Linked DNA regions of Oryctolagus cuniculus. The main gene of each other region encodes a partner of the protein of the gene in region 2 in a complex. Links are inferred from orthologs where the notes say so. Each region holds a gene or a part of one and is shown on either strand. Other genes may lie near its edges. The genes, in order: POLR3G, POLR3E, POLR3K, POLR3D, CRCP and POLR3C.

Region 1 (4,788 bases), on a different chromosome or scaffold from region 2:
TCTCAGCTCCTGTTTCAAGGCCAGCATGTAATCTTCACCTTCCCCTGTTTTCAGTGGCACTGGCTTATAATCTGTATCCTATTAAGAGACAAAGAATGTTTTAATGCCCCATGTTGTTTATTTTCTAGAAAATATCAGTTTTACTGAAAAACCATGTTTTACTGGGCACTAAGCTCTACGATCAATTCACAAGGTGCTGACCTGCTCTGATCTACCTTAACCTTTCAGCCCACTTCCCATCTTGCCCTTCTTTTCGAGGTGGGAAAGAGACCAACACTCGTTCTGCTGTGTAGTCTGCTGATGAATGTGACCTCATGTTGCAAAACACAAGGCACCTGGGGCCGGCACAGGGTACAGCAGGTTAAGCCCCCCCTTTGGCCCTCTCATGCTAGGTCGGAGTGCGTGGATACACTCCCACCTCCACTTCACTTCCTGGTAATGAACCTGGGAGGCAGCAGATGATGTCCCAAATACGTGGGTTCCTGCACCCAAGAAGACCCTGACAGAGTTCCTGGCTCTTGGCTTTGACCTAGCCCAGCTCTGGTTGTTGCAGGTATTTGAAGCGTGAACCAACAGATGGAATCACACTGTCAATCTCTCTCTCTCTCTCTCTGTTTCACTTTCTCTCTGCTACTCTGCCTTACAAAGAAAATTTTAAAAATTAATTAATTAAAAAATAAAAATCAAGGCACCCAAATGAGAGCAACTGCTTTAGTTACTATCAACCTCAACTAGCAGTGGTGACTGGCAGGAGCAATAGCACAAAAATATAATGATAACAGCAGCTATCATTTAGCAAGAGATTACTCAGGCCAGGAAGAACTAAGTAGTCAACATCCATTATCAACACTATCACCAGTATTTTATCTTTTATGGTAAAGACATTGAGAGGAGAAGGAGCAGTAAGCCCATATAAAGAGTAGATACCAGAGCAGAAGTTGGAAGCTACACTTTAGTGTTTTCAAATTATACACACATATGCCCATAAAGTCCCTAAAGGATCACACAAAGGCTTTAATGATGTGACTTTTCTTTTTTAGATTGGGTATTTTTTTTTTTTAACGGGCAGAGTGGACAGTGAGAGAGAGAGACAGAGAGAAAGGTCTTCCTTTGCCATTGGTTCACCCTCCAACGGCCGCCGTGGCCAGTGCACTGCGCCTATCTGAAGGCAGGAGCCGGGCGCTTCTCCTGGTCTCCCATGGGGTGCAGGGCCCAAGGACTTGGCCATCCTCCACTGCACTCCCTGGCCACAGCAGAGAGCTGGCCTGGAAGAGGGGCAACCGGGACAGAATCCGGCACCCCGACCGGGACTAGATGTGGGGAGCAACTGGGAGCAACTCGGACTAGACTAAGTTACTGGAATTAAGACTTATTCTATGCATCTGCTCTCCCACAATATGGCGCTGGGAGAGGAGGAAACAGCTTCTACTCAGCTGCCTCCAGTTCAACCAATAAACAGCAGGACCTGCTCCTGATTGGAGGAGAGCAGCGTACTCGGCGTGTGGGTAGCAGAGTTGGGATTGGTGGAAGAGGACTATAAAGGAGGAGAGAGACAACATGCACCAGGAACATCTGAGGGAACACCTGTGCAGCCCCCGAGAGAGCCGGCCGGCGGTGTGCCGCTCCCCCGTGGAAGTGGGGAAAGTGGCAGGGGGCCCGCCCCTCCACGGAGGTGGAAGGGATGGTAGCCAACCCGGGAAGAACCAGCAGCAAACCCGGGGAGGGCCGAGCAGACAAAAGAACAGCGCAGGGTCCTGTGTCGTTCCTCCATGAAGAGGGGGAGCGACATAATGGTGCCGTGACTCGGATATGAAGCCTAGGCAGGGTTTAGTGTCGTTCCTCCACGAAGAGGGGGAGCGACAACTAGAACCCGGTGTGCCGGCGCCGCAAGGCAGAGGATTAGCCTACTGAGCCACGGCACCGGCCTTAGATTGGGTATGTGTTTTAATAACAGCCATGTTCGATTAAGTAACTCTGCCCCATAATCTAGAGGAAAAATTAATTTTAAAAGGACTGAAATGGGCCTGGCATTGTGGCACAGCATATAAACTGCCACTTAGGACACTGGAGCACAAGCCCCAGCTGCTCCACTTCTAATCCAGCTGCCTGCTAATGCACCTTGGAAAGCAGCAGATGATGGCTCAGGTGCCTGGACCTTGCCACCCAGGTAGGAGTTCCTGGCAGCTGGCTTTGGCTCAGCTACGAGCATTGCAGCCACTTGGGAGTAAACCAGCAGGTGGAAGATCTCTCTCTCTCTGTTTCTCCCTCTCTCTCTGCCACTATGTCTTTCAAACAAACAAACAAAAAAAATCCTTAAAAACAAAATATGCTGAAGTACACTCTGCAATGATTCTTTCCTAACGAGTATTCACATAACAGAATGATTACTTATCAGTCAATGTGGCTTTACATTTTTAAGGATCAGTGAAATGAAGTTGGCTATAATAGCAACTGATAGAGTCACGGTCAGAGCTGGCCCGTCTCTGCAGGGTAAGCATGTAAGCCCAAGTCACACTGAAGCAGAGGCCTAGATAAGATCAGGAAGCCATCCATGCACAGACTGGAGAACAGACGGCCCCAGACTGGGCGGCAACAGGGGCAAAGGCCTGAGGGAACCAGGAGGCAGCGCAGCTGGGAACAGAGAGGGGCAGCGGGAGCAAAAATTACGGAGATGTCAGAAAGGCATCGGTTTGGGCGCCGGTTTGAGTCCTGGCTGCTCCACTTCTGATTCAATTCCCTGCTAATGCAACTGGGAAAGCAGTGGAGAATGGCCCATGTGCTTGGGCCCCTGTGTGCGAGATCTGGAAGAAGCTCCCGGGTCCTGGCTTTGGGCTGGCCCAACCCAGGCCACTGCGGCCACATGGGGATTGAACTAGTGTATGGAAGAGAGCTCTCCCTCTCTCCCTCTCTCTCTCCCTTTCAAATTAAAAACAAAAATTCATTCTTGGTTGATATATTCTATGTGTTTTCAAGGAAAGGTGTATACAGTTTTTGTTTTCTGTTTTAAGAAAGTGGCCTGAACATCAGAAAATGTCCAGGGAAGAATGGTGGAAATATTTAAATTAAAGGTAAGTGAAATTTGGGGAATGAGCCAGTGGATGCAAGACCTCTCCTGTAACTGCATATGCAACAAAATAAATCTTAAAAAAAAAAAAAGCTGTCTTTTACTTTCCTATGCTTTCAGACATCATCATGATACCACATATTCAAGTCCTATCTAGAATTCCAATTTTCTTAGCAACAGGATAAAGCAACACATGGGACTCAGCTGTCAGCGTACTTACGGGAAACACGGGGGGTGGCTTCAGCACCACGTCAGGCAGCTTCTCACCTCTGCTGAAGCCCACAGCCTCGATGTTAAAGGTGTAGGCAGCCCGCCCTCTTCCTTTGTTCCCCGCCATCAGGATGGGCTACGCCGCCAGGAGACTGAATTCTGAAAGATACCACCAGGGATGCAGGCAGGCTGGGTCCTAAGAGAAAGAAGCCATCACTGTAAAACAAAGCATGAAACTCTGCCGCTACAGAGCACGGCTGAGAGAAAACACTGTTGGAAAACTAAAACCTGGAAAGGAGTAAATGTGTGACGATGGCGTGAAGGTTTGGCAAGGAACAGCTGCAAGTGCTAAATGAGGGGGAAGCCGACCTCGTCCGCCTTCAACTTCAGGTCTCCTGCTGAACTCCCAAATCCTCCAAATCAAGATTACACTAGGATACGAAAGTACATTGGAAATCCACTGAAAGGTCCTTAAAACACATCTTTACTCTGGTGTAGCAAAATGTAGAAATCCACGCATAGTTTTTTTCAAAATATACATTTCTCATCAACTTTTTGCAGACGCCCCTCCCCTCACGTGCACAGCTTTCAAACACTTCTGGCACCAAAACAAGCTGCTCTTTTCATTCCGTTTTTCCATGACTTTCCCCAAGCTCCAGGTAGACGTGAACCTGCAGTGCAGTAACAGGAACCTGCAGGCTGGAGAACTCTGCTCTCAATCATGGTGGTGGTGAGTAGCGTGCACGGTCTTCACATCTCTTCCCGCTGAGGACAGGCTAAGACTGAACCCAGGGAGCCCAGGGGAACGAGCTTCTGCACCTGCACGCTGCGCAGGCAGACAGACGAGCGGCTCCGGCCGCAGCCGCCCAGCTCAGGCACTTACTTGCACAACACCTCACACAGCTGCTGTGCAGTTTCTTACCAAGACACAAGGGTCCTGAACACGTTTCCACTGAAGTTTGCCACCTTCAGGGTGAAGGACTACCTGCTAAGACCACTGAGGGGCTACTTCCGCACATCTTTTTGACTATCTGCAATTTGAATACAGTTTGGTCCCAAGGCCTGGGAAATCCCAGCTTCCTTTTCGACAGGGCTGACTATTCTCATCGTCTGGGGCCATGAGAACCTTTAAAGAATCAAGCCCCAGTGTGGGACGCCTGCACCCCATACCAGAGTGCCTGGCTGCTCTGCTTCAAACCCAGCTGGGGGGCAGCAGGTGATGGCTCAAATACTCGGGTCCCTGCCACTCATGTGGGAGTCACAAAAGAAGTTCCTGGCTCTGGGCTTCAGATTGGCCCAGCCTCGGCTCTTATGGCCATTTGGGAGGTGAATCAGCATATGGAAGAACCACCCCTCACCCCCACCCCCACTCTCTCTGCTTTTCAGATAAAATGAAAAAACAAACAAAACAAACCAACCCCCCCACCAAAAAAAAAAAAAAAAACAACAAAACCCTAAAGCAGCTGTTTTCAAAAAGCACTGTCTGTAACAGCCTCACCTGGAATTTTTTTTAT
Region 2 (4,788 bases):
ACGACTTCAGCATGAATAAGACCTGTGCCCTGGGAGGCAGGGCCAGGACGAACACTCAGTCAGTGCAGGCATTAAAGAGCAGCACTCGGACGCTAGGGGCTCGCAGCCTCCTGGACCCCAGCGTGAACAGAATGCTCGATCAGGGTGTCCATGAATGAAGGGTCCCGGCCACAAGAGACATGACCACATCCTTCACAGCATGCCCTGGGGAGGAGTTCCTAACACTACTTTTGAAACTTCTCTTTTGTTCCCTGAGTGTTCCAATGAGCTTTGCGTATTGCTTCACAGGCTCAAAACACTTAGTAAGCCCCTCACACTTTGTCCCAGTCTGACTGTGCCTCACATACCATGGAATTCACTCATTTAAAGCACTCCAGGGCCAGCACTGCAGCACAGCGAGTAAAGCCGCCACCTGTGCTGCCGGCATCCCATATGGCACCGTTTCATATCCTGGCTGCTTCACTTCCAATCCAGCTCCCTGCTCACGGGTCTCGGAAACACAGAAGATGGCCCAGGTGTTTGGGCCCTGCACCCACATGGCAGACCCAGAAGAAGCTCCTGATTCTTGGCTTCAGCCTGGCCCAGCACCGGCTGGGCCATCTTGAGAGTAAACTAGCCAGGAGCTTCTTCCAGGTCTCCCATGAGGGTGCAGGGGTAAAAGGGTTTGGGCCATCTTCCACTGCTTTCCCAAGCTATAGCAGAGTGCTGGATCAGAAGCAGAGCACCCAGGGCTCAAACCAGTGTCCATGTGGGATGCCAGCATTGCAGGTGGTGGCTTTACCTGCTACACCACACAGCACCAGCCCCTAACTCTGACTTTCAAACAAATACAGCATACAACTCAATATTCAGGCAGCACCACAGTCATCTTCGTCAACACAAAAAGAAGCCACCAAGTCCCACTTCACTCTACTACCAGCCCCTGGAAGCCACTAACACCCTCTCCATCCTGCCAATCTACCTCCTGGTGTGGACACTTCTTCTTGCCTCAAGGAAATGCTAACTAGGAACAGAATCACCGGGTCATAAGTCCCTTGACTTTAGAAACACACACCTGCCACTTACACTCAGAGTCAGGCTGTGCTGTGGGAGGGTCTGTGTCCCACAAGGACAATGGCGTAGAGCCCAGCCAAACAGGTCAAGCAACATCTACGGAGGTGGTTCTTTCCAGGGTCCCCCGGCTGCCATTTGTTATTTTCACACCGCCTGGTCCCCAAGAATGTCTGGTGTTTGGAGGAGGCAGAGCTGGACCCTTGGCTGGGTAAGGTCCCCCTCCCCAGGACCCCCAAGCCCCGGGTACCTTGCCTATAGAGCGCAGCCGCGTAACGAGACGTGTTAGTGGTGGTCTGGGAAGAGCAGAATGTCTGCTTGTCCATCAGTTTCCTGGGAGCACAGGGAGAACCGACGTCAAGGGGAAGGAGGTTCCAGAGTCAGGGCCTGGCAGGCACAGCCCACTCCTCCCCAGACACCAGTCAGGGACCAAGGCCACAGAGCAGCCTCCATCTGCCTCAGGAGGGGAGCTGGGGGATGAGAAAACCCACATCGTCTTGTTTGTGCACCAAGAAACAAGCAGTGCCAGGAGCTCCAGGGGCCAGCTTCCCACCCAGCCCAGGAAGAACCCACTGGGACGAGCCAGCACAGGAGGGGAGAGCCTGGAACCCTGGAGGCTCCCGGCAGGAGGGGTCACTTCTGCAAGGCCTTCTGAAGGTTTGCATCTGACCAGAGGGGCTCCGAGGGCTGGGCACTCACGAGGAGTATGTGCTGGTCTCATCAGCACAAGCGCCGTCCACGTTCAGTGCGATCTGCTCCCCCTTGCTGCGGCAATAGTTGGGATTCAGGGTGTCGATGGCCATCTCAAGCTCTACCTGCAGGCATCAAGCATCCCCACCAACCATGAGGATCCCCCAAGGGACTCCCCCAGCCCCACCATGGCCACCTCCTAACAGTCACTGCCCAGAAGTGGAGCTGACACCTGTCCCTGCCCCAAGGGCCCTATGGCTTCAGTCCATAAACTCAATTCCATCAGAAATGTTAAGAGTAGGGTTTTTTGGGGGGAGGGGGCAGAGGTGGGAGGTGGGTTAGGCAGTGCTTGCACAGTCTCCCCACTTCACTCCTAAAGATCTAAATTAGATGCCAACAATTTAAAATATCAAGAGATTTCTCCTAAAATTCCCATCTCCAGCTTTTCTTGAAAGTCCCCAGAACTAGCAATCTTGAAACACCACTTCCAACGGACCACAGGGGGCTGGGGCGTGTCTTTAGGTCTCCTTGTCTATCATCTCACTTCTTTTTAGGCACTAGACTGGCCTCACTATGTGAGACCCAGACCTGCCCAGGTACCCAAGCTTACACTGAGACTATTCCCTAAGTCATCTTGACCCTCCTTCCTTCCTAGAGCTGCCTACCCTCTTTCTTTCTGGAAACTTCCCGTCCTCAGCCTCCAAGCCTTTGCAAGCTGCTGGTTCTCCTAACTCCACTGCTCCTTCTCTGCCTCTCCCACCAGCCCTCCCTGCCCTCAGCTCAGCACACGGCAGCCCCACCTTCTGCTGCTTGGGCTTGATCTTGGCCGAGAGGTGCGGAATGTCATCGTAGGTCATCGAGGCTGGACGTACAGGATACTGGGGGAGGAAAGGAAGCTGTCAGCAACCCTGTCCAGCCCAACCAGAGCAGGGCTCCTGGGGCTCCAGCCGAGAATCAACAGCCACCCCTAGGCCCATGAAGCAAAGACCGGAAGACCCAGGGCCCAACAAGCCCCACAGTGAGGCTCCCCTGTGGGATCTGCTTGCAGTCCCATTCCCATCTGCTCCTCTGAGCCTCCTTCCAAATGGCAATTTTAAGATGTCTTTGACTTACAAGGGACAGGCATAAGCATCAGGAACCCAAACAGTCACCATGTGGGCTTTAATGCCCACAGCGCATGGCTGTGAGGGTTGAGAGTAAGGGTCCAAGATCAAACGATAAGTTGATGTACCATCCAGCGAGAAATGAGGCCACAGGGAAGCAGAGGGGAAAGCCGCTGGCCAGTGTCCTTCACTGCTGCAGCAGGATGCTGACATATGGGAACTCATGACCCTCAGCCTATGCAGCAACCTTCCCACAGTAAAACACTAGAAAGGGCAGAGCTGAGCCTCCTGCCCGCTTTGTGTAAGGTCACCTTTACACAAATGGTCCCCACTTTCACAGACTGCACACCTACTGGTCCCCACTTTCACAGACTGCACACCTACGTCCACCTCATGGATGCACCGTCCCTGTCTTCATCCCAGTGTGCCACAGCGAGCTGTGATTTGAACCCAGTCTCAAAAGTCTGCCCTTCACTGCCTAGGACCATGACAGCCACAGGATGAGCCTGCTGGAGGCGAGGCACTGTGGAAAGTCAGCTCCACTACAGATCAGCTGCACTAGAACCCAAAGAAAGGGTCATTTCCTAAAAGCTCACTGAAACAGCAATACCGGGTCTCCTCTGCCTCCCAGGCTGGAGCTAGTGGAGCTGTGATGGGAGAACAGCCTGGAACACAGCCTCTTTGAGCAAAGCACTGAAGCGTGGCTTGACTGGGACAGCCTGGAGACACTGGTCTGCCAACGCCTGGGGCAGCTCAGAGATCATGACGTCAGGCTGGGAGGGTGGTAGAGAGCATAGGTCTGGAAGCAGCCCTGGGTTCCAGTCCTAACTTTGCCACGCGTGTACTCAGGCAAGCTCTTCACCTCCCTGAGTAGCCTCACCTCACTGCCCAGGGCTGCCCTAAGAGCAGATGAAGAAGAGGGCTGGCACACCACAGATACACACAGGGTCATTAGGAACATCACTGTGCAATCAGTTAAGGATGTAGGTTCCAAAGGCCCAAAGGACAGGCTCCCCGTCCTATGGGATGTAAAGGTAAATCTCAGGGAATGGACCCCAGGCCTGGGGCACTGCCACTGCCACCTCGTCCCAGGACCCTTCAGTAGAGGCCTCCCCGAGCCCCATTTTCTAAGGCACAACGTGGGCATAGAAGTGTCTAAAACAATCACTTTATTATTGGGGAATATAAAAATGGTACAGAAAAGTCAGGTAGTTTCTTAAAAATTAAATAACATGTGACCCAGCAATTCCACTCCTATGAACACACTCAGAGGAATGAAAACACACTGTCCACACAAGTTATACAGAAGGAGCAGGCGTTTGGAGCAGTGGTTAAGAGGCCACTTGGGACGCCCACATCCCACATTGGAGTGTCTGGGTTTCAGTCCTAGCTCTGCTCCCCATTCCAACTTCCTGAAAATGCATACCTGGTGGGCAGCAAGCAGTGGCTCAAGTACTTGGGTCCCTGTCACCCACGTGGGAAAAAGAGATTAAGTTCCAGGCTTTGGCCTGGCCGAGTTCCAACTATCGCAGACGTTTGGGGAGTAAGTCAGTAGATGGGTATGCTCTCTTGTGCTCTCTCCTTTCTCTAAGGGGCCAGTGTTGTGGTGCAGCAGATTAAGCTGCCACCTGAGATACTGGCATCCCACATCAGATGGCTGGTCCGTGTCCCGGCTGTTCCACTTCTGATCCAGGTCCCTGCTAATGCACCTGGGAAGGCAGCAGATAACAGCCCAAGTACTTGGCTCCTGCCACCCATGTAGGAGACCTGGATGGAGATCCTGGCTCCTGGCTTCAGCCTGCCATAGCCCCAACCAGTACAGCCACTTGGGGAATGAACCAGCAGTTGGAAGATCTGTCTTTCTCTCCTTGTCACTCTGCCTTTTGAACAAACAATGTTCAAAGGAGCATTATTCATGACAGCCAAAAAGCACAAACCACCCCAA
Region 3 (3,956 bases), about 18 Mb from region 2:
CCACGCCAACCCTTGTCTGTCACCCTTTCAAATAAATAAGTAAATATTTTTCTAAAAAAAAAGATTAACACAAGAAGTATAAAGAACCTAATACATTTATTGCAACCTTAGGAAGCAAACTGAGGAAGGCTCAAAAAGGAAAACAAGGAGTAAGAACAGAAAGGATAAAGAAGCGGAAGGTCAGGCTGTCACATTTCGTGCTGTTTAATCCCAGATAGAGCAGTCAGTTTGAAGTCACTGAACTTGAAGGTTTGCTAGGAAGGGAAGGCATTATCAGACTTTTCCTTTTTGTACAAGATTCCAAATAAATTGTGGTTAAATAAGCTTGCAGTTAGCAGTTACATATGCAGGGGCATGCCATGGGTTGAGCTGTGCAGACAGTATAAATACTGAAGGGCTCTGGAAGAGGAGCAGAGTGAACCTGAAGCAGAGCTCCCACCGAGGGTCTCCCCCGAGCAGAGAGAACAGAGTGAGGGTCTCCCCCGAGCAGAGAGAACAGAGTGAGGGTCTCCCCGAGCAGAGCAGCAAGGGTCTCCTCCTGGAGCAGAGAGAAGACAGCGAGGGTCTCCTCCCCTCAGCAGAGAGAACAGAGCGAGGGTCTCATCACCCCCCAGCAGAGAGAACAGAGCGAGGGTCTCCCCCCAGCAGAGAGAAGACAGCGAGGGTCTCCTCCCCCCCAGCAGCGCACAGGAGGGTCTCCTCCCCCCCAGCAGAGCGCACAGTGAGGGTCTCCCCCCAGCAGAGCACACAGCGAGGGTCCCCCCCCCAGCAGAGCGCACAGCGAGGGTCTCCCCCCAGCAGAGAGAAGACAGCGAGGGTCTCCTCCCCTGAGCAGTGCACAGCGAGGGTCTCCTCCCCCGAGCAGAGCACACAGTGAGGGTCTCCTCTTCGCCCACGAGGACTCTCTGGCCCCCGATGACTTCATCCACCGACGGACGATGTTCCTGGCACCCTGGCCCTGCCCTCAGGAGGGCTCGCTCTCTGCCACACCAGCGAAGACCCTAGGACACACAGCTCACATTCCTTGCCAGGAGTCCACCCTGGGGACCGGCACAGCTGGGCCAGCGCAGCCCTAGTCCCTCCAGCGGTGCCCGCACTGGGGGCTGCAGCACTTGTAGAAGGTGGTCATGGGCTCGTCTGCAGAGCGCGTCTGAAGCTGCATGAAGTAAGCACGAGGATGTTCGCACTTGGGACACGGCTCTGCAAAGGAGAAAAACCAACCAGGGAACCACATTACATAAAATGACGCTGGTGGGGCCAGCATGGCGGCACAGTGGGGGGCCACCGCCTGCGACACTGGCATCCTATGTGGGCGCTGGTTAGAGTCCCGGATGCTCCACTCCGGATCCAGCTCCCTGCTAGTGCAGGGCAAGAGCAGCAGAGGACGGCCCAAGTACCTGGGCACTGCCACCTGTGCAGGAGACCCAGGCACTGGCCTCAGCCTGGCCAGCCTTGGCCATCACAGACATCTGGGGAATTAACCAGCAGTTGGAGGGTCTCCTTCTCTCCTACCCTGTCATCTTGCCTTCCAAATAAATCTTATCTTTAAAAAAGAGTTATTTGTTTATTTGAAAGAGTTAGAGAGAAAAGGAGAGACAGACGTCCACCTGTTGGTTCATCCCCAAATGGCTACAACAGACAGGGCTGGGCCAGGCCAAAGCCAGGAGCTTCATCTGGGTCTCCCAAGTGGGAGCAGGGGCCCAAGGACCTGTGCCATCACCCGCAGCTTTTCTCAGGTCATTTGCAGGGAGCTGGAAGCGAAGTGAAGCAACTGAACTTGAACCGGCGCCCATCTGGGAAGCTGGTGCTGCAGGGGCAGCTTAACCTGCTGGGCCACAGCGCTGACCCCAAACAGATAAATCTTCACAAAAACGATGCTGGTGAGGGACACTTCGTAAGATCACTAAGGACACTACCAACAGAGGCTCCACTCCCACCAAGCTCGAACACTGAAGGGACAGGTGAACCTGTGCCCTGTGAAACACTCCTCCCGTCCTGGGACCCTGCGTCTCTCCCATCTGGCTGGAGACTGATTAGAGAAGTAACTTGGAAGGGGGCTATCTCCACGGTTGGTGCTGCTGTAACAAACTGCTGGAGACTGAGTAATGGGGAGAGGCTCAAACAGCTTTGAAGTAAGTACTGAAAAGCCTGTGTAAGAGAATTTCAAAGAGCTCATAGAAAATGAAACTAACAGTTTCCAGTCCATGCATAGTTTCTAAAAGATTTACGGATCTATTTGAAAGGCAGAGTGACCTCTGATGAAGGAAGAGAAAGAAGCCAAGTCTGATTAATATCAGACGCCCTGGTTAATATCAGACGCCTGTCTCCCTTCTCGTGCAATCCACAGGAATAATTTACCAACTACTGTTTAAATGCACGTTTTTCAGTAGCTCTAGAAACTTTTTTTTTTTTTTTTTTTGACAGGCAGAGTGGACAGTGAGAGAGAGAGACAGAGAGAAAGGTCTTCCTTTTGCCACTGGTTCACCCTCCCATGGCCGCCGCGGCCAGCGGTGCACCGCGCCTATCTGAAGGCAGGAGCCAGGTGCTTCTCCTGGTCTCCCATGGGGTGCAGGGCCCAAGCACCTGGGCCATCCTCCACTGCACTCCCGGGCCACAGCAGAGAGCTGGCCTGGAAGAAGGGCAACCGGGACAGAATCCGGCGCCCCAACCGGGACTAGAACCTGGTGTGCCGGTGCCGCTAGGTGGAGGATTAGCCTAGTGAGCCGCGGCACTGGCCAAGTGTAAATAATTTTTAAGAGGTGAAATCACTTGCTGGTTGTTTGTTTTTTGATACAACCAGAAAATAGTAGCATTATAATAATACAGACAGACAGACAGACAACACAGTCCATCATGGGAGGCTTCGGCTGTCGTGGCCGTCAGCTTGACACTCCACAGGTGGGGGTGGCTTTTATATCCTACAACACATACTAAACGGCAAAGGTGCATTTCATCTGTCCTGACAGAAAACCACCCGGCGTTGCTGTCAGACCACGTGTGCTCTGTCAATCTCTGGCTGTGGGGGTCCACTTTCCCTAGTGGTTTAGTTCACGTTTTTGAGTCTGTCACATACAGGATGTTACCCTGTAAAGGGCGGGATTTATGTCACATCAACGCTTGAAGATGCTGGTGCTTGATGGGAAGAGCTGCCTCCAAATTTGAAGCTGGAAATGACTGGAGTGACTTTTGAAAACAGAACGAAAATTCAGGCTTCCTAGATTCTGCCTTGCATGTTAAGAACTGTGTAAAAATGAAAATGTCTGCGTTGATTCTCAACACCAGTGAAATCTCAGTTAACAAGCAGAAGGCCGAGACCTTCCTTCTGCGCTTCACTCTCCAGACGGCAAGAGCAGGAGCCGGTCAGGTCCCACCCGGGAGCCCAGAGCGCCAGATACGTCCTGCACGGGCAGCAGGGCCCAAGGACGCTGCCAGGCACATCAGCCCAGTGCTGGTTGACGCCCCAACACAGGATGCCAGTCGCGGGCGGCGGCCTAACCCGCCACACCACAGCGCCAGCTCTCAGTATTTTCAGTGAAATGTAACGATTCCACACGAGCTTCCTGACAAGCCTGCTGCGTTTTCATGACCAGCGCATTACGGGAGACTCTGGCGGGCTCAGAGTCGCAGAGGGGCCGGCGCTGGGGCACAGCGGGCAGAGCCTCTGCCTGGGCGCCGGCATCCCATGTGGGCGCCAGTGTGAGTCCCGGCTGCTCCACTTCCGATCCAGCTCTCTGCTGTGGCCTGGCAAAGCAGTGGAAGATGGCCCAAGTCCTTGGGCCCCTGCACCCTCGTGGGACACTCAGAAGAAGCTCCTGGCTCCTGGCTCCTGGCTTCACACTGGCTCAGCTCCAGCTGTTGTGGCCAATGGGGAGTGAACCAGCAGATCAAAGACTCTCTCTCTGCCTCTGCCTCTCTGTAACTCTGTGTCTCAATAAATAAGTATCTTAAAAAAAAAA
Region 4 (5,335 bases), on a different chromosome or scaffold from region 2:
ATGTTGATGATGTGAGAGGGACCCATATCCGACACATCCACGGTCTTATCCCAGCTCCCTGCGGGAAACCACCCTGTTCAGCAGCTAGCCGGCAGCGGGCGCTCCGTGGCTCCGGCCTGCCTCCGTGGCTCTGGCCCCGCCTCCATTCCTGACCCCTTCCTTGTACCTTTCTTCTTCATCATCTCAGCGGGGCCTTGCTCAAAGATGGAGTGGGACTGGATGACTTCCGGGCGGCCCCGGCCCCGCCCATGCCACTCCCGCTGCCGCTCTCGGTCCCTCTCCCGCTTCTCCTTCTTCACTGTGACCTCCTCCTTGGGCCTGCAAGAGACGGGGGATGCTGGGGACCACTTGGCCTGCCTTTGCCACGCCACTCCGCCAACCGAGCAGAGTTTGTGGAGCCCCACTCGGAGGCCAGCACCCGTCTCGCTGCCCGGATGAGGCCTTTCACTTTGCTGGGCTCTACCTGCTCGCCCAAAAACTTTTTTTTTTTTTTTTTTTTTTTGGCACTGACTGAAAGCAGCAAGGCTGTAATACAAACGAACGTCAAGGCAAGCGTGGTCACATCTGTCTGACCTCCTTCCTGCCACGGGCTATTCTGATAGTTACAACATCATTCTCAGGCCATACACAGTCATCAACTTACATTAGCTGCCCGGAGAGTTAACTGAATTGGGAGTTCTGCCCACGGCTGCCTTGGCAGGGTCACACCAGATTTCGTGGGCCACAGATGTCCTGCAAGCCGGACACTCCTCACCCCAAATTTAAACTGTTGCCTTTCAACTCTGGCTGCAAGATAGCATCACTCTGTTTCACTGCAAACTAGTCCAATCACAATTTCTAGAGATGCAGCATTGGGGATCTGTATTTTTTGAAGGCCTGCACTTTAAGAATCACCTGGCATCCTACATGGGCGCCAGTTTGAGTCCCAGCTGCTCCTCTTCCAATCCAGCTCCCTGCTATTGTTGGGAAAGCAGTAGAAGATGGCCCAGGTACTTGCGTCCCTGTACCCACATGGGAGACCCGGAAGAAGCTCTTGGCTTCCGCCCGACCCAACACTGGCCACTGAGGCCATTTAGAGGGAAATGAACTAGCGGATGGAAGACCCACCCCCACCCCCCTCTCTGTAACTCTGCCTTTCAAATAAATCAATCTTTAAAAAAAAAAATCATTTGCAAGCCAGGGTTAACAATCACCAGTGCAAGGCCGGTGCTGTGGCACAGCGGGTTAACACCTGGCCTGAAGTGCCAGCATCCCTTATGGGCACCAGTTCTAGCCCCAGCTGCTCCACTTCCCATCCAGCTCTCTGCTATGGCCTGGAATGGCAGTGGAGGATGGCCCAAGTCCTTGGGTGCTTGCACCTGTGTGGGAGACCTGGAAGAAGCTCCTGGCTCCTGGCACGGATCAGCGCAGTTCCGGCCGTTGCAGCCAAACTGGGGAGTGAACCATCGGATGGAAGACCTCTCTCTCTCTCTCTGCCTCTCCTCTCTCTGTGTAACTCTTTCAAGTAAAATAAATGAATCTTAAAAAAAAAAAAATCACCAGTGCAAAGAATGGACACACAAATTTTTACACTTCTGAGCCATAAGCTAGTTACTTCCCCCACAGCCCCAGCCTGTGCAAAGAAACAAGGGGCAAGTATTCAGGCTACTTACTCTTCCTTGATCTTCCGGCTGATGATATTTGGGGTGAAAGTTTTCTGAAAGCAAAATGCAAGAGTCACTGACTTGATCCGTTCTGACCCCCCAAAGGGCATCTCCTGGGGACCAAGCCCACCCTGAGGCCCTCTGCACACACTGCGCTGTCATCACACCTTCACACAGACACACAGCTGCCTGGCGAGGAGAGCCATCCTGCCACGGCGGCAGCACAGTCACACGGGCAGCAGGGAACCCGACACCATCCTAACTAGCAGCTTCTGCCCTCTGAGAGCCCCACCAGCACCTCCAAATGCAAAGAAACCTGTCTGATGTCTCTCATCTCCAGTCTGCTACGGGGGCCAATCAGTACCACAGGCACACAGCTCTCGCTCAAGGCCCAGGCAGGGAACACAGATCTGCCAGCACTCACAGAGGACATGGTTAGACTGGCACCAGACTGGCCCGAGACACAGGTAAATCTTTCAAAACTGGCTGCTGTCTGCTCTGTCTCATTCCCTGTCACCCCCAACCCTCTGAGAGCTCCTCACAGCCACAGTCACGTGGAAAAGGGCACCGGGCCCCAATGCCATGCCCAGAATCTACCAGAGGATTCTGGGACCCTCTCAAAACTGACAGCGGCGTTTGTGCTTGTCTGGCTATCTTAGGGTTCTTAAAGGGGGCTCCAAACAAACACTAAGGGGTCAGCGGGTCAGTGTTGTGGTGCAGTGGGTTAAGCCTCTGCCTGGAATGCCAGCATCACACTGGGGCGCCAGCTCGGGTCCTGGCTGCTCCACTTCCCATCCAGCTCCCTCTGACGCACCTGGGAAGCCAGAAGATGGCCAGACGCAGTTCCTGGCTCCTGACTTCAGCCTGGAACAGTCCGGACCATCGGGGCCATTTGGGGAGTGAGCCAGCAGGTGCATGCCAGCACTCTTTCAAATACACAGAGCATTTTCTACAACACACACGCACGCACAATGAAAGTAAACCCTGCTCTTTGGAACGTCTGGAACCAGGCGCGATCCTCTGAAAACCACCTCAACAGCTCGTGGCCAGCACCCAGACTTGACTGAGCCCCAACACCACGCCCAGCACACAGCAAGCCACACAGGGGCATCTGCTGAATCTGGGAGCCTGGAGTGCCAAACAGCTGAGTGTCCTGAGAAACGCGCCGGGCGGGTACCTTCTTGACTCCCCCGAGAGTGAGGTCCCTGGAGCGGATGGAGGGAAGGCGGCCCGGCGTGGGAGGGGGCGCAGGCCGCCGCCCGATGAGCCCCCGGGCCCCTGAGAGCAGGGGCCGGGGGGTGCCCGGAGCGCCGGGCTCGCCCGCGGCGCTTCCTTCCGACATGCTGCCTGAGAGAGAGAACGGGCGCCCGGTCACCGGCGGAGACGGACCCGCGAACCCGGGGCGGAACCGCACTCACGTGGCGGGCCGCTCCCCCTGCAACCCGCCCCCGACGCGTCCCTCGGGCTGCGTCTCGGCTCCTCCCCCTCCCACGTGGCGAGGCGCCCCGGACCACCCCGGCCGGAGCCCTTAGCTCTAACCTGCCCTCCCAGCCCCCCGCCAGGCCCGAGGCAGGAACGCACACGCCGCTGGGGCTCCGCAACCGCGCGTCCCCACTTCACAGCCGACGCCACTCGCCGCCGACCCCTAGTCTCCGCGCCGGGCGGAAGTCTGCGTGGCAGCGCCTGGGCGCCGCCATCTTGCCGCGGGGCGGAAGTGACGATTGGGGGCGGGGCTAGGCCACAGTATTTATGAGGCGGCGTCTCGCTGCCCTCCGCCTTCTCTTCCCGGTTCTTCCCGGAGTCGGGAAAAGCTGGGTTGAGAGGGCGAAAAAGCTGGGGTGAGGGGGGCCGGTCCGGGCTACGTTACGGGGCGGCGTTTGTGGGTCGTGGCCTCGGGCCAGGGGTGGGGGCGCCGAGCTCCAGGCAGCGCCTTGGCGACCCCCACCCCACGGGGCAGTGGGGACGGGGGCGGAATTCGCCGCGACTTAGCCGCTCGGAGCAGTGGGGTCGCGCGTCGGGGTGGAGTGCGGGGCCCGGCTGCAGCCCCGGGCAGCCCCGGCTGCGGGCGCTGTGTGGTGACCTTGGGGCGGTCACTGCCGCGGGGCAGCGGCGGGGCGTCCGGGGTGGGCTCAGGGGCGTCTCCGGAGCGGCTGCCCCGTCCCCCGTTCTGGGCTCAGGGTCGCCCGGGTCCTGGAGAGAAGACGGAAACCGAGTCTGCTCTGCCGCGGGAGGGACGGATCCGATCAGCTTCTGTCGTGACTCTGGCCCTTGTGATTTGACGGGAAAAGTGTCCTTCGGGGATGGCCGGAGTTCTGGGGTCCTGCGCCCACGTGGGAGCCCTGCCTACGGCTCCTGGCTTCGGTTCCCATCCCAAATGACTGTAACACCCTGGGCTGGGCCAGGCAGAAGCAAGGAGCCTGGGCCTCGTGGGATGCTGGTATCACAGGCAGCAGCCTGGAATTTTTTTTTTTTTTTTTTTTTTTTTTTTTTTTTTTTTTTGTAAGGCAGAGTTAGAGAAATCTTCCATCCGCTGGTTCACTTGCCAATTGGCCACAAAGCTGGGATCTCCCACGTGGGTGCAGGGGCCCAAGGATTTGGGCCATCTTCTACCACTTTCCCAGGCACATTAGCAGGGAGCTGGATCACAAGTGGAGCAGCTGGGACTTGAACTGGCGCCCACTGCAGGCAGCGCCTTTACCCACTGGGCCAGAATGCCAGCCCAGGGACTGGATCTTGATTTACCTGTTTCCCTGTTTGGACATTTGGATTTTTTTTTTTTTTAAGCAACATACATAGTGAACATATGGTGTGTTAAACTTTTTTCTTCTTTTGAATTATTCCCCTGGGAGAGATTTCCACTTCGGATAACAAGCAGAAAGATGTACATTTCTTTCTTTCTTTTTTTTTTTTTAAGACATTTATTTATTTGAAAGAGTTAATACAGAGAGAGAAGGAGAGAGAGAGATGTCTTCCATCCATTGGTTCACCCCCACAGTTGGCCGCCATGGCCAGGGCTGAGCTGATCCGAAGCCAGGAGCCAGGATTTTGTTCCAGGTCTCCCACATGGGTGCAGGGGCTCAAGGACTTGGGCCATCTTCTACTGCTTTCCCAGGCCATAGCAGAGAGTTGGATCGGAAGTGGAGCAGCCAGGACTTGAACTGGTGTGCATATGGGATGCCGGCACAGCAGGTGGCGGTTTTACCCACTACGCCACAGCGCCGGCCCGGAAGATGTACATTTCTTAAAAGTAAACTTTATCTTGAGATCATTGTAGATACAAGTGCAGTCCTAAGAAACAATGCAGGAAGATCCTAAGTTGTGTGCACCTTCTAGACTAATAACATCTTGCAAAACTCTACTATAATGTTACAGCCAGAATGCTGTGTCTGGCGCAGTTAACATGTAAGGCATCCGCCAGCGCCGCGGCTCACTAGGCTAATCCTCCGCCTGCGGCACCGGCACACCGGGGTTCTAGTCCCGGTCAGGCACCGGATTCTGTCCCAGTTGCTCCTCTTCCAGGCCAGCTCTCTGCTGTGGCCCGGGAGTGCAGTGGAGGATGGCCCAAGTGCTTGGGCCCTGCACCCACATGGAAGACCAGGGAAGCACCTGGCTCCTGGCTTCGGATCAGTGCGGTGCGCCGGCCGCAGCAGCCATCAGAGGATGAACCAATGGCAAAGGAAGACCTTTCTCTC
Region 5 (5,578 bases), about 49 Mb from region 2:
TCCCTCTTTCTCTCTCCGCCTCTTTGTAATTCTGCCTTTCAAATAAATAAATAAATCTTTTTTTTTTTTTTAAAGTAAGTTAGATTATTTGAAAAAAGTATTTCTGGGCCAGCATTGTGGTATACCAGTAAAGCCCCTACCTGTGTCATCGGCATCCTATATGGGTACCGGTTCATGTCTCTGCTGCTCCACTTCAGCTCCTTGCTAATGAGCCTGGGAAAGCAGTGGAAATTGGCACATGGGAGAGCCAGGTAGAGTTGCAGCTTCCTGGCTTTGGCCTGGCCCAGCCCTGGCCATTGTGGCCATTTGGGCAGATGGAAGATCTTTTCCTCTTTGCCTCTCTCTAAAACTATGCCTTTCAAATAAATAAATGTTTTAAGAAAATGCATTTTTCGGAACTGGTGTTGTGTACAGTGGGTTAAGCTGCAGCTTGTGATGCCAGCATCCCATATGGGCACCAGTTAGACTCTAGGCTGCCCTACTTCTGAACTAGCTTCCTACTATTTCACTTGGGTAAGCAGGGGAAGATGGCCTAAGTACCTGGGCCCCTGCCACCCATGTGGGAGACCTGGATGGAGTTCCAGGCTTCTGGCTTTGGCCCAGCCCAGGCCTGGCCACTGTGGCCATTTTGGAGTGAACTAGTGGATGGAAGATCAATCTCTCTGTGTCTCTGTAACTCTGCCTTTCAAAGAAATACATCTTTGAAAAAAGAAAGAAAAAAAAAAAGAAAGTGATGGAGGAGAATGGATCACAGGCTGGCTAACTGCAAAGCTTGCACTGTTAATATCACGGAATAACATAGTGCTTAGCAAAAGCCTTGCAAAAAGAATGAACTTAGTAAATGATAACTGATATGCTGTCAAAATGTATATTTTAAAAAAACAGAAAAGTAGCAACTGACTTACCATCCTGCTGTTGTTCATATTCTGCCATATTGCCTTCCAGTCTTTAAAAAACACTTCAAACATATCAACATATAGAGAAGGCAAAAGACATCAACCTTCCCAGTTGTTTTTAACACATAAATGGCTATACCTCCCAATACCTTTAGGTAATTTTTTCCTATATGATTTTTTTTAGGTCACGCCACATCAACTTGCATCTTTTAAGTAGCCTTTTTTTTTTTTTTTCAAAGATTTTACTGATTTATTTGAGAGGTAGAGTTACAGAGAGGGAGAGACATAGAGAGAGGTCTTCCATTTGCTGGTTCACTTCCCAGATGGCCACAAAGACTGGAGCTGAGCCTATCCAAAGCCAGGAGTTTCTTCAAGGTTTCCTATATCAGTGCGGGGGCCCAAGCACTTGGGCCATCTTCTACTGCTTCCCCAGGCCATAGCAGGGAGCTGGATTGGAAGTGAAGCAGCTGGGACACTGACTGGCACCACAGGGAATACTGGTGCTGCGGTGGAGGCTGAGCTCACAGTGCCAGCTCCTAAATATCCTATCCTGAAAATGTTTTTATTTTGTAATATTTCAAAGAATACAGAGGAGTATAGCGTTCACTGAGCATACATATATTTATTTTTTAACACTTTTCCATATTCGTTTCATTTAACACTTTTCCATATTCACTTCATTTGTAAATATACTTCATATTTTTTGAAATCAGGGGTGGATATATTAATATAACATGGGATTCATGACAAAGATCATAAAATGAAGAAATAAGGCTGCATTATTGTGTAGGGATATAAATCGTGAAGACAACATTTATAAATATACACCAAATAATATGGCATCCACATTTTTACTATACACACATGCGTATATATTCCACATATGAGCGAAAACATGTATTTGTCTTTCTGTGGCTTGACTTTGCATAATGCTAATTCCTTTCATTTTGTTTCAAATGTCAGTACTCCATGCTTTCTTATGGCTGAGTAATATTCCATTTTGTGTTTATCCACTTTGCATGCCTACATACATGGCTGAAGCATGATCAATTCTCCATTGTTGGGCATTTTGGCTATTTCCAAGCAAAAAAAAATCCCATCCTGCGCATCTTTCCTCAAGAAAGATAATGTACTTTGGGCAAACTCCGAGAAAAGCCCCAGCCCCAGGGCTCAGACACAGCCTGTTCAGGTTAAGGTTATTTATTCTTTTTTTTTAAGATTTATTTATTTGAAAGGCAGAGTTACAGAGAGGGGAAGGCAGAGAAAGAGGTCTTCCATCAGCTGGCTCACTCCCCAAACGGCCACAAGGGCCAGAGCTAGGCCACTCTGAAGCCAGGAGCCAAGAGCTTCATCTGGGTCTCCCTCACGGGTGCGGGGGCCCAAGCACTCGGCCATCTTCCAGTGCTTTCCCAGGCCATAGCAGAGCTGGATCCGAAGAAGAGCACAGCTCCTCTTGGCCCCCGCCCTGGGATTTTTTTAACACTGCAAAGGCCTACAAAAACGACCACGCCTTCGGAAGCTTAACTCGTGAAAACACTTTGCTTAAGTCCCGTCCGCAGACGCTAGACAGCCCGCTCGGCCAGGCGAGCGGCGCCCGGCCGCGAGAACCTCCCGGCTCCACCACGATCCCGGCGTGCAGCGCGGCGATCCCAGCGTGCACCGCGGAGGCCCGCGACCGCCGCGAGTGCTGTGTAGGTTAGGGGAGCTGCGGCGGCGCCGCGGCTGGCTCCTTATCTGCAGGCTGCTGGGGCCGAGGGCGCGAGGACGACATGGAAGTGTAAGCTTTGGGTCTGGGTGCACGGCTGGAGACGGTTAGACCGCTGGGAGCCGAGAGCTGTTAGAGACAGGGTTGAGGGCGCGGCGACTCCGGCTCAGCGGCGACTCCGGCTCAGCGGCGACGGCCGGGTCTTGGGAGTGGAGGACCGAGGAAGACGGGGGTTCTCGCTCTGCCGCGCTGAACCTCCGCTCCCGGTGTCTGGGGCGCCCGGCCCAGTGAGACTCGGTCGGCTGGCTTTCAGTGGGCCTCCTCCCTCCCTCATTCATTTACTGGCCTTTCCTGGGTCCCAGTGGCAGCGCGACCTGGTTTCCGAGCGGGGACTTGGAAAGCATAAAGCCCTTGAGAGATGGCTGCGGGTTGGAACAGAGCTGTGCTTGGGGGTAGGGGGCTCCTGAGAAACCCTCACAAAGAGGTGGCATCTGAGTTTGCTGAGGAGCTATCGGCCCTTTAGGGGAGGGGGCGGGGCTTCTGGGAGAAGGAATTGTATCTGGACTGGATCAGAAGCAGTACGAGGCGGGTGTGTGCACGGTATAAGCAAGGAGTAAAAGTTCCAGCAATTTAACGCCACGTGATCTTTTCCATGTTTCCTCATCGTACCGAGTACAGATAGAAACTTTTGCTTCTACTCTGCATGTGGCTTTTTACATGATTGGTGTAAACTTGTAGGCATGTCTATATTGTGTTTTCTGTGGCACCGATGAAAACATTTTCCTTTAGGTTAAATTTTTGCTTCGTGGTTAGTGATTTATGAACTGGTGGTTTTCAGACCTTTTTTTTTTTTAAAATAAAGAATTATTTATTTATTTGAAAGGCAGAGAGGCGGGGAGAGGGAGGGGAAGGGGGATAGGTGTCTTCCATCCGCTGGTTCACTCCCCAAATGGCTGCAATGGCTGGAGCTGGCCCAATTGGAAACCAGGAGCCAGGAGCTTCTTCTGGGTCTCCCATGTGGTTGCAGGGGCCCAAGGACTTGGGCCATCTTCTACTGCTTTCCCAGGCCATAGCAGAGAGCTGGATCAGAAGTGAAGAAACCGGTACCCATGTGGGATGCCAGCACTGCAGGTGGAAGGTAAACGTTCTAGACACAGTGCTGGTCCCCAGACTTTTTTTTTTTTTTACTTTAACTTCACTATTTACATATAAAACGGAAATGACAGGTACATACTTTTTTTTTTTTTTTGATAGGCAGAGTGGACAGTGAGAGAGAGAGACAGAGAGAAAGGTCTTCCTTTTCCGTTGGTTCACCCCCCAATGGCCGCTGCAGCCGGCGTGCTGCGGCCGGTGCACCGCACTGATCCAAAGCCAGGAACCAGGTGCTTCTCCTGGTCTCCCATGCGGGTGCAGGGCCCAAGGACTTGGGCCATCCTCCGCTGCACTCCCGGGCCACAGCAGGGAGCTGGACAGGAAGAGCACCGACTGGGACAGAATCCGGTACCCCAACCGGGACTAGAACCCGGGGTGCTGGCGCCGCAAGTGGAGGATTAGCCTGCTGAGCCGCGGTGCTGGCCTAGGTACATACTTTTTTTAAAAAAAGATTTATTTATTTACTTGGATGTCAGAGTTACACAGAGAGGAGAGGCAGAGAGAAAGAGAGGTTGTCCATCCACTGGTCCACTCCCCAGTTGGCCGCAACAGCCGGAGCTGTGCCAATCCGAAGACAGGAGCCAGGAGCTTCTTCTGGATCTTGCACACGAGTGCAGGGGCCCAAAGACTTGGGCCTCCTATTGCTTTCCCAGGCCATAGCAGAGAGCTGGATTGGAAGTGGAGTAGCCGGGACTCGAACTGGTGTCCATATGGGATGCCAGCACTGCAGGCGGTGGCTTTACCTGTTATGCCACTGTGTTGGCCCCAGGTCCATATTTTAAGTTATTCAGTTTACTCTGCTGTTGTCTAGTTTACTAAAAGTTGACCCACTAAATTAAGTTTGCAAGCAACCCACTAATGGGGTTTAGCCTGCAACATGAAATCATTCATAAATTAATATAAGCCATCATCATTAATTTTCCCACGTTACCAGAGTATTTCCTATCAGTATACAGGCCAGTTCAACCTATACATTGTATTGGTCAGCTTTTTATGAAATACCTGAGGCAATTAATTTTATAAAGAGAGAAGGATTCTTTAGTTCACAGTCCAAGATGGGGTAGATCTCATTGGTTCAGTGTCTGGTGATGGCGTTCATGTTGGCAGAATCCTCAAATCATATTGCAAGAGACAGGGAATGGGCATGTTTATGTGGTCTCTTTAATAATGGAGGTTGAAATCTAATGACCCAATTTGATCCGTTGCCAAAGGCTCTGCCTTCAAATATCATAACTGGATTAAGTTTCTACTCTCTTAGTGCCATTAACATAAGACTTTGGGCACCAGATATTTAACAGGTGGGCCTTTGGGAGACACTGAGCACTCAAATTAATACCCATAGCGTACATCTTGTAACAATCCCTCGTCCTCACCTATTTCTATTTCACCTATTCTTGCCCACCTATTGCCCAACACTTCTGCTTCCCCTCACAGCAAAACTTCTTGAAAATTGTTATATCTCCTAATTCACTTGGCCTGCTGTTGGACTCATCCTTATTGCAGAAATGGCTCTTGTGAAGATTACTTGAGCCTCTGTCTTATCGAATCCAAAACTGATTTTCTGGCCTCAGCTTTCTTGATCCCTCAGCATCAATTGATAGAGAAATGCTAGAACTCCTGGCCTTGTGTCAGGCTCTCCTGGATTGTCTTCTACAGCAAGGACCTCCCAGTGTCCTTCCCTGGCTGCCCTTCCTCCCTTGTTTGGCATCTAAATGTTTCTTAGTCCTGGGAGGCTTTCTCTCTATTTTCTCTCACTTGGTCATTTTAATCATCTATAACTTGATTGTTCCCTGAAATACATTTCTGATCCCCTTTTCCCATTTTT
Region 6 (5,574 bases), on a different chromosome or scaffold from region 2:
TGTCTCTATTTCTCTTTCTGCCTCTCTGCCTTGCAAATAAAATAAAAATAAATAAATGAAAGTTAAAAAAAAGTAATGTTAGCATATGTGTGTTTATACACACAGAGCTCCTAATACAAATTTACCAGTGTTTGAACTGGCTTTTCAGATCCGCACTGAACCAGCCACTTACCGACCTGGTCTTTCTTATGGCCAACACGTTCATGACAATTCTATGAGATTAAGTACATAAAAACGGCCATGAAAGATGAAACTCACTGACTCACACAATCCTGACCTCGCTGAGCCTTTTCCCAAAAGCGCAGAACAATGAGTCACTACTGTACGTGATGACTACAATTAATAACAATATATTGTACATTTTAATATTGCAAAGACAGATTTGAAGAGCTCTCATCCCCAAAAAATGATGCTTGTGAGGTAATCCATGTTAGTTTGATTTAGCCATTCTACAATGCAATATATGTATGCAAAGTATTTCACTTGTCAATTTAAAAAACCAACAATTTACTAAATGTTTTTCCCTTCTTCCTCAACTTGTTCTTCCTTTTTCCACCTCCCAGTCTCTGGTATTCTCAATCTGAATTCCACCTACCCTTCAAAATTCAATTTAAATCCCACCTTGTCTGTCATACCTTCCCTACCCACACCAACACCACCATACGCCTGATTTTTTTAAATTTATTTATTTCAAAGGCAGAGTGACAGAGGAAGAAATGGAGAAAGAGAAATCTTCCATCTGCTGGTTTACTCCCAACATGGCTGCAATAGCCAGCGAAGGGCCAGGCTGAAGCTAAAACTTCCATCCTGATCTCCTTCATGGGTGGCTGGGAACCAAGCACTTGGAACATCTTCCACTGTCTTCCCAGACACATTATCAGGAAGCCTCCTAAGAAGAGGTGCAGAAGGGTCTTGAACTGTGTGCTGGGGCAGGCGGTGGCTTAACCTGCTGCACCACAATGCCAGCCGCCTCTCTGAATTCTAAAGTGCATCCTCATCCACTTTACAGTCATGCTCCATGTAACAACGTTTTAGTCAACAGTGGATCATATATGCAATGGTGGCTCCATTATCGTACCACCTAGTGACACAGTGGTCTTAGTTGGTTAAGTATATACTCTGATGTTCACACAAAAACAAAAATCGCCTGATAGTACAGTTCTTGTTTCTTGGAACATATTCCTGTAGATTAGGGGAATACATGACTACATTGTTACCTTTTTCCATGTCTGCCTTGTCTTCCCAAAGAAACTGTGAGATCCTTAAGGGCAAGAACTACATATTCTGGGGCTAGTGCTATGGCACAGTGGGCTAAGCTGCAGCCTGCAGTGCTGACAATCCATATAGGCCCCTGTTTGAGACCTGGCTGCTGAACTTCCAATCAGCTCTCTGCTAATGTGCCTGGGAAAGCAGCTGAAGATGGCCCAAAGCCCTGGGACCCTCCCCTCGTGGGAGACACAGAAGAAGCTCCTAGCTCCTGGCTTTGGCCTGGGCCAGCCCTGGTCATTGCAGCCATCTGGGGCATGAACCAGTGGATGGAAGACCCCTCTCTCTACCTCTGTCTCTCCTCTCTCTGTAACTCTACCTTTCAAATAAATAAAAGAGCATGGCACTAGTCTGCAATCATAAACCTGATAAACAGCAGGACAAACATTATTTAAAAAACTACATATTCTCCCATGTCACCCAGGACATCCAGCAGAAAACACTGCACATGAGTAGGAAGCACATTCAACTGTGTCTCAATTTACAATTCACGCACAACAAATAATAAATCAGACTAAAAACCCCAAGAACTTCTCCAGGCAGCTAAGAATAAGAAAAACATCTATAAAACCTTTCATATTATCCCTTTGAAGTTAGGACTTTAGATGATAAGGGAAAAAAAAGATAATAAGTTGTGGAAACTGAAACCAAGTCTTCTCCCTCTTGAAGGCAAAATAATGAACAGCGACTTAAAGATCCGAAGAGCAAAGGGCGCAGTCAGCGACCTGTCGCCAGTCACACACACCAGGGCTGCGTTCCAAACTGCCTCTCTGTAGTTAGAGAATTCTGGAGGCTCTGATGTCTGTTGGAAAAGCACAAGGCACCTGCTCTTCCCAACGGTGAAATATGCCAAAACGCACATAAACACACACCAAAATCAGCAGGCAAAGCCAGGAGCACTGAGATGAAACTATGATCGTGCAGTGGGAGCAAATAGAGAAACCAGAAAATGCCATCAAAACACAACTTGTCAGGTGAAAAGGCTCTCAAATACCCGGTAAGTGTTGACTCACTGGACTCCATTGTGTTTCTAAGAAATAAGAGATGGGGACACACACTTCAGTGGGGCTTCTAGACTGCATGAGACACTGTAATACACAGGGAAGCTGTTCTGCAGCCACTGTCTAAAGACTAATTATTTAAAGACAGCCAGCCAAAGGTAGGATTAACATTCACCCTGCTGGGGCTCCCCACAGGAGCTAAAACCCAACCCAAAGCAGCTTCTGGGTTTGGGGCCCCAGGCGCTGGTGGAAGTGTTTTCTTTACATACCACAGCACTACCTCTCTAGGGGCTAAGAGACAGTCTGGCAGAAACTGGTTTAAAAAAAAAAAACAAACCACCAATCTGATGTAAGAGGAAGCGGTCCCCAACATCTGTCCTGGATCTTCTTCTTGAGTGACGGGGGTGGGGGGTGGTCGGTAAGGGAGGCGGCACTGAAGACACCCGCAAGCGGACAACCCACATAAACTAAGTTCCAACAGCTTCCTGCCTGCTTCCCAAAGCCCTCGCCTCCGACAGTCAGAGGAGCGCCGGGCACTCTGCAAGTCATCAGGACACCGCTGTTTTCACTTTCACATGAACCCCAGGAGAAGGGCAAAACCCCCTCTCCCCAGTTACCTCCCACCCCTGGCTCGTCCCTAGAGACCACCGAACAGGGACAAGCCTCAGCAATCCGCTATGTTTCTCCAGCGAGGCGGGGGAAGCGGGAAGATCTGGCGAAAAGTGGGAAAGGGAATCGGAGGAAGGCGAGGAGCAGCAGAGGAAAGAGTACTGGGGGAGGGGAGGTCACGGCGAGGAGCGGACAAGGTGAAGAGGGCGAGAAGATTCAGGGGAAAGTTGTCAGAGGAGAACTTGCTGAGCAAGACAAAAAGATGGAGGGGACACAGGCCAAGCGCAGAGAGGCAGCGAGGGGCAGGTGAAGCAGTCTAGCCGGGAACAAGGGCTGGGCTGGAAGAAGGGAGCCAGGGCCGTGACGCTGCAGGGTAGGGGCCAGGCACCGGGGACAGTGGACGGCAGGTACTCGGGTGACCGATGTCAGGGGAGTCAGGTGGATACGAGAGGCTTAAGACCCAATTCCGGGACATCGGGGCCAGGCATCTAAGCAGGAGCCAGACGCAAAGGAAACGGGGCTCTTACCGGTAGTTTGGGGCTGACCTCGCCCTTGCAAAAGTGGCAGAAAAACCGGTGCGCGGCTACGGCGGCGCCCGCGTCCGCACCGGCCGCCGAAGCCTCCGCCATTTTTCTCCTCCGCCGCGGCTGTCCGACAGGGCGAGCGGTCTGTCCCTCACCAGGCCGCTACGTCCCGGGCTGCGGTCGCCGCCGCAGCCGCCACCGCCACCACCGCCTCAGCGCGGCCCGCCGCTCCACAGCACAGCCCGCCTCGGTCACGTGAGCCCGCCGGGCCCAGCGAGGCGGCGGCGCGGACGGCGAACCCGCGGCCCGCCCCCGGCACGGAAGAGCGCAGGAAGGCGCGTCCGCACCCCGCGGCCCGCCCGCCCGCCGGCTGCTCAGACAGCCCCCGGCCGGTCCTCCGACCTTCCAGCGAGAAGAGAGAGAAAGAGCGTCCCGGAAACCACCGACACTCTGGGGTAGAGCGGCGCACGTTTTTCGCCCTCTCGGCGTCCTGCCCCTGCGGCCATCCTCTTCCGAGAGAGGGCCGTGGGCTCCCCCTCTGCCCTGGCGGCTCGCGGGTGCCGCAGGAAGCCGACGTGGGGACCTCGGCGGCGTTTGGTTTGCAGCCCCTGGCTTGGTTGACCCTGAGGTTAGTGGAAAATGCTGTCTGAACCAGCGGGCTTGGATCTGAACAGAGAGACCAGGACCGGAAGGGGAGCCTGCGTGAAGGGAGTGCAGGAGCGGGAGCCAAGCGTCTTGTAAATCCCGTCCAGGGCTGGCGCAGAGTCAGGGCAAGTGAATGGGTGAACTAGGTCTCGGGTGATCCTGAGGCCGGGGCACAAAGACGTGGCTTCCAAGGAGTTGGGAGAAATAAATGAACAGTGGTAGCAGCAGTGGTAAGAAAGAAATCATAAAGCCAACTGCGTCCGTTTCTGTTTGTGTCGCCTTTGTCAGAATTAAATTCTGCCCTACCCACAATGTAACTTCATCTCCTGTGCTGAACACGCTGTGTAGAAGCTCTCCTTTATCTCCCGATTTCTTTTTCTCAGTTGTCTTTTCCTTTATGGACTGGGAATGGCGCTGCCTGTTCACTCTCAGTGGGCTGTGACAGTGACTTTAATGCTTCCACAATGAAGTGTAGAATCTAGGGTCTGTGACAGACTGCAAGATCAATACGCAGTCTTTTCAGAAAAACACGGTGACTCGTAATCCCATAAAGTTGATGTATAGTCTTTCAGTCTTTTTCCTATGCATAGTTTAAAAAAAAAACTAACAAGAATTACTCTACATTTTCCTTTGCAACTGCTTCCGTCATGTAATATGAACATTTTTCTAATATATATTGTTCTAAATAATTTTATATATTGGAAGAATATTCCTTTGTATGGGCATGGCATAATTTATAAGACAGTAGGTTTTTTCCAGTGTATCAGCATTATAAGGAAAATAGTGACATCTTTTAATTATGTCTTTGGAACATAATGTCCAAAGTGAAATTGTTATGCAAGACTTTAAGACTTTTGATGTGTATTGTCCCAGTGTTTCCCAGAAAAGATACATAAATTTATAATAAGCAGTTCTACTCCAAACATGAAAAGGAAACTATATTATATATTTTTGTTTTTCCTAGCTCTGAGACTCCCCAGGACAATGACTCAAGCTGAAATTAAACTCTGTTCTTTGCTACTGCAAGAGCATTTTGGAGAGATTGTAGAAAAAATTGGAGTCCACCTAATCAGAACTGGCAGCCAGCCGCTAAGAGTAATTGTCCATGACACGGGAACATCACCGGATCAGGTATGTTTAGGTGACATTAATTTGCTCTCTTTCACCTGCCTTTGAATGGTGTTCCTCCCTACCCTAGAAAATGAAGGCAGAAAGCCTGCCCTAGGATCAGAACAGTGTTGCTTGAGGGGAAAGAGGATGAAACTTAGGTCCCAGGGTTTTGTTTCTCAAAGTGTTCCTAATTCATCAAGGCTTCTTAAACAAATCTTGGAGCTGGTGCTGTGGCACAGTAGGTTAATCCTCTGCCTGTGGCACCAGCATCCCATATGGGTGCTGGTTCTAGCCCCAGCTGCTCCTCTTCCAATCCAGCTGCCTTCTATGGCCTGGGAAAGCAGTAGAAGGCCCAAGTCCTTGGGCCCCTGCACTCGTGTAGGAGACCTGGAAGAAGTTCCTGGCTCTGGTCCAGCTCC

The links.
Region 1: POLR3E (region 2) and POLR3G share a complex: the UniProt entries of both Homo sapiens proteins name them as parts of the RNA polymerase III complex. The link is inferred for Oryctolagus cuniculus from reciprocal best matches to the Homo sapiens genes POLR3E and POLR3G.
Region 3: POLR3E (region 2) and POLR3K share a complex: the UniProt entries of both Homo sapiens proteins name them as parts of the RNA polymerase III complex. The link is inferred for Oryctolagus cuniculus from reciprocal best matches to the Homo sapiens genes POLR3E and POLR3K.
Region 4: POLR3E (region 2) and POLR3D share a complex: the UniProt entries of both Homo sapiens proteins name them as parts of the RNA polymerase III complex. The link is inferred for Oryctolagus cuniculus from reciprocal best matches to the Homo sapiens genes POLR3E and POLR3D.
Region 5: POLR3E (region 2) and CRCP share a complex: the UniProt entries of both Homo sapiens proteins name them as parts of the RNA polymerase III complex. The link is inferred for Oryctolagus cuniculus from reciprocal best matches to the Homo sapiens genes POLR3E and CRCP.
Region 6: POLR3E (region 2) and POLR3C share a complex: the UniProt entries of both Homo sapiens proteins name them as parts of the RNA polymerase III complex. The link is inferred for Oryctolagus cuniculus from reciprocal best matches to the Homo sapiens genes POLR3E and POLR3C.

What each region holds. Positions count from the first base shown.
Region 1 is NC_091445.1:13,204,895-13,209,682, reverse strand, and holds part of POLR3G (DNA-directed RNA polymerase III subunit RPC7), read right to left. Parts: intron 3,471-4,788; 5' UTR 3,402-3,470; coding exon 3,285-3,401; intron 79-3,284; coding exon 1-78. UniProt on the Homo sapiens protein: DNA-dependent RNA polymerase catalyzes the transcription of DNA into RNA using the four ribonucleoside triphosphates as substrates.
Region 2 is NC_091450.1:17,076,544-17,081,331, forward strand, and holds part of POLR3E (DNA-directed RNA polymerase III subunit RPC5), read right to left. Parts: intron 2,619-4,788; coding exon 2,541-2,618; intron 1,866-2,540; coding exon 1,750-1,865; intron 1,384-1,749; coding exon 1,301-1,383; intron 1-1,300. UniProt on the Homo sapiens protein: DNA-dependent RNA polymerase catalyzes the transcription of DNA into RNA using the four ribonucleoside triphosphates as substrates.
Region 3 is NC_091450.1:34,576,526-34,580,481, reverse strand, and holds the end of POLR3K (DNA-directed RNA polymerase III subunit RPC10), read right to left. Parts: intron 1,201-3,956; coding exon 1,073-1,200; downstream 1-1,072. UniProt on the Homo sapiens protein: Core component of RNA polymerase III (Pol III) which synthesizes small non-coding RNAs using the four ribonucleoside triphosphates as substrates. Can mediate Pol I proofreading of the nascent RNA transcript.
Region 4 is NC_091439.1:1,078,904-1,084,238, forward strand, and holds the start of POLR3D (DNA-directed RNA polymerase III subunit RPC4), read right to left. Parts: upstream 3,359-5,335; 5' UTR 3,225-3,358; exon of another isoform or gene 3,183-3,224; intron 2,991-3,182; 5' UTR 2,986-2,990; coding exon 2,821-2,985; intron 1,697-2,820; coding exon 1,653-1,696; intron 319-1,652; coding exon 167-318; intron 59-166; coding exon 1-58. UniProt on the Homo sapiens protein: DNA-dependent RNA polymerase catalyzes the transcription of DNA into RNA using the four ribonucleoside triphosphates as substrates.
Region 5 is NC_091450.1:66,192,050-66,197,627, forward strand, and holds the start of CRCP (DNA-directed RNA polymerase III subunit RPC9), read left to right. Parts: upstream 1-2,425; 5' UTR 2,426-2,665; coding exon 2,666-2,673; intron 2,674-5,578. UniProt on the Homo sapiens protein: DNA-dependent RNA polymerase catalyzes the transcription of DNA into RNA using the four ribonucleoside triphosphates as substrates.
Region 6 is NC_091438.1:49,062,390-49,067,963, reverse strand, and holds the start of POLR3C (DNA-directed RNA polymerase III subunit RPC3), read left to right. Parts: upstream 1-2,123; 5' UTR 2,124-2,263; intron 2,264-3,403; coding exon of another isoform or gene 3,404-3,505; exon of another isoform or gene 3,506-3,675; intron 3,676-3,695; exon of another isoform or gene 3,696-4,028; intron 4,029-5,009; 5' UTR 5,010-5,029; coding exon 5,030-5,176; intron 5,177-5,574. Other genes in the region: E3 ubiquitin-protein ligase RNF115, read right to left, coding at 3,404-3,505. UniProt on the Homo sapiens protein: DNA-dependent RNA polymerase catalyzes the transcription of DNA into RNA using the four ribonucleoside triphosphates as substrates.